Arabidopsis thaliana: one gene and its partner. The protein of the gene in region 1 interacts with the protein of each later gene in a pairwise test. Each region holds a gene or a part of one and is shown on either strand. Other genes may lie near its edges.

Evidence for each region.
Region 2: the proteins of PEX11D (region 1) and ARC5 interact in a protein complementation assay, tested with the Arabidopsis thaliana proteins (one study listed by BioGRID).

The regions. Positions count from the first base shown.
Region 1 is NC_003071.7:18,837,628-18,841,550, reverse strand, and holds PEX11D (peroxin 11D), read right to left. Parts: upstream 2,117-3,923; 5' UTR 1,853-2,116; exon of another isoform or gene 1,700-1,852; 5' UTR 1,687-1,699; coding exon 1,492-1,686; intron 1,417-1,491; coding exon 1,342-1,416; intron 1,260-1,341; coding exon 1,185-1,259; intron 1,091-1,184; coding exon 1,010-1,090; intron 921-1,009; coding exon 846-920; intron 761-845; coding exon 587-760; intron 485-586; coding exon 449-484; 3' UTR 148-448; downstream 1-147. Other genes in the region: AT2G45730 (eukaryotic initiation factor 3 gamma subunit family protein), read left to right, coding at 2,428-2,573, 2,679-2,806, 2,928-3,033, 3,122-3,203, 3,296-3,366, 3,453-3,494, 3,617-3,741, 3,831-3,923. UniProt on the Arabidopsis thaliana protein: Involved in peroxisomal proliferation. Promotes peroxisomal duplication, aggregation or elongation without fission.
Region 2 is NC_003074.8:6,853,972-6,857,894, forward strand, and holds the start of ARC5 (P-loop containing nucleoside triphosphate hydrolases superfamily protein), read right to left. Parts: upstream 1,620-3,923; 5' UTR 1,419-1,619; coding exon 1,056-1,418; intron 895-1,055; coding exon 727-894; intron 632-726; coding exon 509-631; intron 433-508; coding exon 211-432; intron 135-210; coding exon 1-134. Other genes in the region: AT3G19740 (P-loop containing nucleoside triphosphate hydrolases superfamily protein), read right to left, coding at 1,973-2,080, 2,183-2,254, 2,349-2,408, 2,493-2,631, 2,711-2,895, 3,021-3,104, 3,332-3,454, 3,556-3,732 and 1 more. UniProt on the Arabidopsis thaliana protein: Mechanochemical GTPase component of both plastid and peroxisome division machinery. Required for the last steps of plastid division specifically in mesophyll-cell, when the narrow isthmus breaks, facilitating the separation of the daughter plastids.

The DNA of each region.
Region 1 (3,923 bases):
AAATCTTCGTATCCATGCATGGGCCTATCAACAACTTTCAAGATATTTTTTTATAGAAAAATATCGAGGATTTTCATATTTAATAAAAAATAGCATTCAGTGTAAAATGAGCGTTCCACGATGCATGGATGCTCTTCAGACTCCAAGTTGTAGCTTTAGGCGGAATGAAGCCCAAAGTCTATTATAATAATCAGATCAAAACATATATGTAGTTGGATTTTGCCTCTAGTTATTGCGTAGCAGAAACAACATCTCATAATAATGCAATACTATTGAGTATTGAAACTTGTGTATCAAGAATCTGAGGCATAAATTTATAATAACCGTAATTCCTGCAAATAAGTATTTTATACGATGTTTTATAACAGCAGTGAATTTCCTTAATAATAAGAAGAACAGAAACTTTCTGAAATGACTTTCTCCTTAACACCAGCTTCCTCGATTGACTTCAGGGTGTTTTGATCTTGGGGCGTGTCGGAAGCAACTGTGTTTGTGGAGAACAATGAGAATCATGTAAATATCAGAATTCAGAAGAAGAAAGTTACGAAATTGGAAAGTGAGGTCTTGTGGATGAAACAAGTGTTACCTGGTAACAAGAAATGATGGAGGTGATGAATCCAAAAGCTCCGGTGACACGAGGAGTGATCTTCGTTGGAGCTAACTGAAGAAGACCAGCTGCTACAACAATGTCCATAGCTGATTTGATCAAAGCAAGTGACCTCTCGTTTGATTTTTTTAGCTTAGCACGATAATCCTCATCCTACATTTTTATACAATTTGAATTGAGTCTCTTATAATAAGATTTTGTAGAATTAGAAGTTTCTTAACAAAGAAGAAAACTTTACCTGATACTTGTTTCCATTCTTGAGTCCCTTTTCGATCTTCTTCATTGATGAAGAAAGCCTTCCCATCTCACCAACCTGATAACAGTGAAAACCGATACATAAGCTGGCGAAAAAGGCCAAGATGACATGAGGAATCGATCGGAAAAGTGAAAGAAGAGGCGGACCTCGACTAAAGTTGTGCAGACAGAAGATCCCATCCAGCAGAAGAGAGATATACGTCCAAGTAACTCAGCTCGTTCTTTGTTCTGTGTTGAGATAACACATATAAGACATTAGCCAAACACACAAAACTAGAATACACCAGTGGAACATAAACTTGATGATCTCTCTCTCTCTCACCTTATATATTCCTGATCTCCCAAGCCAGACAATTTGATCCAGGAACAAGAATGTAGATAAAAGTGCGTTCTTCGACTGAAAATAACAACAAAGATTGATACAGAACAAAGATATAAAACCGAAACGAACTCTGAGCTTTGATCTCTAAAGCACCTACCTTTCCAAGTAAAACAAGAGGAAGAGGAGTTCCTTTAGGCACAGGACTGATAAGACCATGCAAGTCATTCACAAACTGCAACAATGATAATATTTAGTTAATTAAACAAAGAGGTAAAAACACACTCTAATCAAAATCAAAAGGATTAACCTTGAAAAGACGGAAGACTTTTCTTGCTAAGCTAGTAGATTTGTCAACATTTTGAGCAGTACCAGGTTGTCCACCACTCAAGAACTTGGAACCATACTGTATAGCTCTGCATAACTTATCTCTTGCCTCTGCTTTGTTCAAATACATTACCACAAGTGCTAGCTCTGCTCTTGATACATCTAACGTCGTCCCCATCTTCTTCTACCTACTAATCAAATTCCAAAATATCTACTACTAATCACAAGGCAGGACGAAATTGGAAAATTTCTACTAGTTTTGATCAAAGAAAAAAATCAAGAACACCACGAAAAAATGTAAACAAATCATAGAAAGAAATCAAAAGAATTTCGATTCGAAATACCTTTGGGAGAGATGTGTGAACAGAGATAGAGAGAGAGAGTGATCAATTAAAATTCGCAATGCCTCTGTTTTTGGCTTGATCTTCTTTTGATTGTGTGTGTAATCGGAGATAGGGCTTGTTTGGTCATCTTCGTTTCCCGATAAACAGACAAAACACGTCGTTGGGTCAACGCACTCATCTCTTCAATCTTTCATTCTAAGCCGTTGATCATGTTGACTCTTTTTATGTGTACTGTGTACACCACATTGGATCATCCTCTCCCACTCTGCTTTCGGAAGTTGAGGATATTTCGCGCGTCCCAACCACGTGGCACACATATCTAGGACAACAAGATTGAAATTCCACGTGGATTTTTTACATTTATTTGGGGCAATAGCACTCTTAAAGCCCAATAATGTTTCACCTAAATGGGCTCTAACCTTGGCCTTAATTATTAACATTTAAACCGCTCTTTATTTAACCGACAAAACCTTTAGTCGTGTAGTTAGGGTTTTACTTACTAATCCGCCATTCACTTTATTTGTAATCAGAAACTGAAAACTAACCAAACATAACTGCAGTCTCTTCTTGTTTCGATGGAACTCAATAAGGATCAGACAGTCATGTCGGAGGATAAAAAGCCTCAAGATCCAAATCCCAGATTTGCTTGCGAAGGTTGCAGCGTTCTGCTCGACATCAACGATGGTGACCGTCTCGTCTTCGCTCGTTTATCTAGTGGCGCGTGCGTCTTCTTCCTCAATATCTTAATTTATCCAGATTGATTCTCATCCTCAATTCTATTGTTTTTAATTTTTTTTTTGATTCTTTTCTCTCCCTCTTCTTGCAGTATATTAAAAATTGGGAATAAGAATTATTCTTTAAAGCCATTGATCGGAGCTCCGTTTGGATCTCTGTTCCAAGTCGAAACCGGAGAAGATGGTTCTTTCCTCTCTCGCATTCTTCCCATTAAACAAGGTTTGTTATTATTGAATACCAAATTCACATTATCCTCTATACTGAATACAAAAGAAACTGAGTTTTTGTAAATTGGTTATAGATGGATTGAATTTGGTCTAATTGATGTTTGCTTACACAGAAAGTAACAGTAATAATGTTATGGACGATTCGAGAGATAATCGAGAAATCGTCGACAATAATGAAGCTCAGAATCTTACTGGTGAAGAAATTGAAGCTATGCGGAGGTTAGAAGAATTCTTTATATCGTCTGTGTTTATTATATTGAATGCGTACATTGGAAGATTTGGTAACGTTTTTCTCTTTTATGAGTAGAGAGGGTGCAAAAGGGGATGAAATTATTGAAGCTCTAATTGCAAACAGCAAAACTTTTGATAAGAAGTTTCAGTTGTCTCAGGTAATGTATTTATATTGTTAATGAATCTCTCTGCTTCTACTTTTGAAAGTTTGGGAGACATATAGTTGATTTTTCTTGTTACCTCTTTGTAGGAAAAATATAAGCTTAAAAAGCAGAAGAAATATGCACCAAAGCTGCTTCTTCGACGGCCTTTTGCTCGAAGGTATTTATTTGTTCGGTTTTTTTCTGTCTTTTTTTTTTCTGACTTCTTCCGTTTCTCTTATGGATGGATCTCTTTATGTTTAACAGTATATGTGAAGCTTATTTCAAGAAATACCCAGCCAGAATTGGGTAAGTACACTTTGTTTGTTTTCTTTACTTGTGTATTCTGAAGATCCTGAATCCTTTTTTCTCTGTTGAGATTGAATTATGTATTGATGGTTCTGTATATCTTTTTTTTTTGTGTGTTGTAGATTCTTACGAGTAGATGCGTTATCTCTTCTGTTAACGATGGCTAATGTCACTGCATACTCGGATGTGCTTGTGGTGGATATGGTTGGTGGCCTTGTCACTGGTGCAGTGGCTGAAAGATTAGGAGGTATATAGCTTTTTGCAATCCTACATCACATTAATAAGACCACTGCATATTTATCTGTGTGTCTTATATGTATATATTCCTTTTAACAGGCACTGGTTATGTTTGCAATACATATAAGGGAAGTTCTCCTTATCCTGTGGAGATGGTAAGGATGTTCAACTTTAGTGACAAGGTTTTAAAGA
Region 2 (3,923 bases), on another chromosome or scaffold:
CTTTTCCAGAGTAGTTCTTCCAGAAACAACCTCAGTTTACTGATGCCAATCCTACTCTTTTCCTGTTTTGTCAGTAAACGGCCCAACTTCTTCTCTAAAGATGCAATGTCTTCCATTTCTCTAAGTGACACAGCCTGTAATAAAAACCACACATAGTTTAGAAAAAGACCTGTTTAACTTGTTTAAGGAATCAGACAGCAGAGCAGAGACCTGTTTGAACTCGTCATTAGACTTATACACTGAATCCTGTCCATAGCCAACTCTTCCAGAAGGCACAGACGTGAAAAAAGGAGAATCGCCCAATAAGGAGCTGTCAAGTGCGCTTGCAGGAGGTGAGAGAAAGACTTCCACGTCAGATGAACATGAGAATTGAGGGATTTTAGTGTCAAGCTTTGTAGAAACAACAATTGTCCTAGAAAGCTCAGGATCAACCTACATGAACGAGAAACAAACTTTAACAAAAATAAAGACAAGGTTAGACGCAATGGAGTTACGTCAAGCAACGTACTTGCATCACTATCCTTCGAGTGGTTGCAATGCTCCAGTCACTGCTATCTTCGAGGCATAAAATGATGAACTCTTTGTGTTGCATCTTTGCTCGGACTAGAGCTTCCACAGCCCGTGCTTGAACCTAAGAAAAAGAACAAGTAACCCACTCTCAAATAAAGCAAAACCAAAACATGAAATCAGCCACGGAATTGGCTGGAAGCCATAAGAAAAAACAACCTGAAGAGCTCGGTTTTTCAGTCCTGGTGCAGGAGCAATAAGTCCAGGTGTATCAATGATGGTAAGGTTTGGACAATACTTATACTGGACTTTCACAATAATCTCCTTTGCAGAGAATGGGCTACATGGCTCTTGCTCCAGCCTCATGTTCTCAGCCTCAATATATGCCTAACTCCAAATCATATAACAAATTTCGTTAACATGAGCATTTCGCTTCTCTACAATAAACCTAAGTACTTGTGTTTCTCAACATTCGTCAAAATCTTCCCAGAATTTATACGCAGAAACAAGCAATTGAAGAAGCACAAGTAATAATAATAACAAAACACCTGAATTTGTGAGAGAGATTTGGGAAGAGAAACGGAAGGATCATCATCAGATCCGAGATGACAAAGCGGGAATTGACACTGAGGATCGTACTTCATATGGAGAGTAATCGGCCGACGAGTCTTGGTTCCGCCGCCGACATGGTTAAATTGAAACCCCATAAGAGCTTCCACAAGCGCACTTTTACCGTCGGTCTGCTGTCCCACCACAAGAACCGCCGGTGCTTCGAACGGCGTCTCCAATTCCTGCGCCAAAGCGTGTAACTCGTTGTAAGCTTCGTAAAGACTCCACCGCTCCTCAATCGCAGCGTCGTCCTCTTCCGCCATTTCCTCAACCGTCACCGATTTTGCTGATACTTCCGCCATCGTCTCTTACGAAAATGAGCAAGAGGAAGAGTAAGAGTAAGAGAGTGTCTCTTATTTCTTCTACTCTTTAGTTTTCGTCGCCGTTCCTTTTTCCGCCATGGAATTAGCAGATACGGCTAATTTCAATTTTTGTCAAAAGAAATATTTTTTGTGTTTTAATCTCACGCGCATCCATGGCGCGTTGAGTCAACGTTGTAATAGTTCTCCGCTAAATTTAAATAAAAGAGCGCGTAAGGAGAGAGTTTAAGGATTTTTTTTTTTTGGTCGGCAAATACAAAGGATTTGCTTTGTCTTGACCAATAGTATATGCAGAAATATTATCTCAAAGGATTTGTGATAACTATGTAGTACAGAATTGTGATTATTGGATGAGAAACCAGAAATATTTTGAGCAAATGACGACTTGTTAATTTACTATTTTTTCATTTCTTAAAGGTCTCTCTTGTGTAACTATGATTAAAATTGAAATAGTGACTTTTATTGTTACGACATGGAACAAATCAACGAGTTCTATTGTTAAAGAGAGACATTGATGAATGTAACAAAACTGTGGCTTAGAAGCCGAAAGGAGACTTAGTTCGGGTCCCTCCTTCACCGTATTGCTCGTTCCATTTTCTCAATTCGTTCATTGTCGTCGCGTCGTATGCCACTGACGGACTTACCTGCAAATTACATTACAATGACGCAATTTCGATAATGCAAACACCAGGGGAAAAAACATGAATAGAGATGATGATGATGTTTTTTAAGAGATTGATCAATACCTTAGCTTTGGATTGAATGAAGTCGTCCAAACTCAGTGGTCGTAGATCAGGGGACGCATTTGTTACCGAGTCCTGATAATTCGACGTTTCAAAAGCATGGAGTGAGTACAAAAATTATTTTTCGTAACAACAGAAATCAACTGTGTGGGTTTATGCATGTCCTTACCTTGTTTTCTTCTTGTAACAATTCTTGAACAGGTCTGTATGCAGCTGCTATGCATAGATTCTGCAATGTAAGAAAAGAAAAGGAATCAGAACTACTGTGTTGAATCATACTCGAACTTGTAAATGAAACCCCGAATGACCAAACCTTTAGATCGCTTCCTGAATATCCTTCGGTTTCCTTTGCAAGTTTATCAAACTCGAAACCAGTTTCAAGATTTTCTGGTGTCAGAAATATCTTCAATATCTTCAACCGGTTTTCCGCATCTGGTAAATCCACATATATCCTATAAACACAAGCCTCAATACAATTATCGAAAAGATACAAATATTCCAAAGGAGAAATTACTTGAAAGCTTAAATTACCGTCTTGGTAGCCTACGAATGACAGCGTCATCAAGATCAAAAGGTCGGTTGGTGGCACCGAGAATGAGAATCCTTTGGCTATCTTTTGATCTGAGTCCATCCCAAGCTGCCATAAACTCATTTCTCATTCTTCGTGTTGCCTCGTGCTCAAAAGCACCACCACGAGCACCCAACAAACTGTCAACCTATACGACAACAAAATAAATTACAGTTAGTCCTTGAGTAACACATTTTACGCATCACAAAAGTATTCCTCATAAAAAGCAATAACCGAAATTGAAAAGTGATATAAAGCTAAACAATTTCTCACCTCATCAACAAATATAATGACGGGGGCTAGTTTGCTTGCAAAAGAGAACAAAGCCTTCGTGAGCTTCTCTGCATCTCCAAACCACTGTGCCAAACAATGGACGAAATTGACTTAAATCAGAACCAATCAGAGGTAAAGTTGGAAAGAGATTTACTCTAAGTTACAATCGGCATTGACAATAATAAGTCGATGACCGGGGTGGAAAAGTTTTTCTTATGTCATTAGATATTCTCCTTATTTATATGAAGATGTTTACAAAGTGGAATATCAACGTGACAGTGCAAACAACATAGTTTTAAGGTTCCATGTACCTTTGAGGTAAGCGTTGAGCCAGTTATGCTAATGAAGTTTGCCCCAGCTTCTGTTGCAAGCGCCTTGGCAAGCAGCGTTTTACCCGTACCCGGAGGACCAAAAAGCAATATGCCTTTACATGGCTGGAAAAAACAAAGACACACGCATTCAAGAAAACCCAGACGAGAAAATTCCAAGTCCATAGTCAAGAACATAATGACATGTATATAACAGAATGTAATACCCGCAAGAGATTTCCACGGGTGAAAAGCTCTGGCCTTCTCATGGGAAGAATAACTAACTCATTTAGTGTCTTTTTCACATGTTCAAGAGCACCAATGTCGTCAAACTTTACCCCAATTTCTCCAGGAGCAACCACGGCTGAGACAAAATTGGTTTCAAACTCATCCTTCGCAATATTCTGCAAAAACAAAAATCTCTTTTTAACATAATTATTACTCAGAGTTTTCAGCAGCCAATTGCCAGACTACCAGAGGGGGGAAGAAACTAAACCTTCAAGTTTTGTGTGGGCTTTCGAGAAATATCTTCTTGTGCCTTTAACCTTTTAACTGAAATCTCAATGCTTCAAAAGAGGAAGACAATAGTAAGATA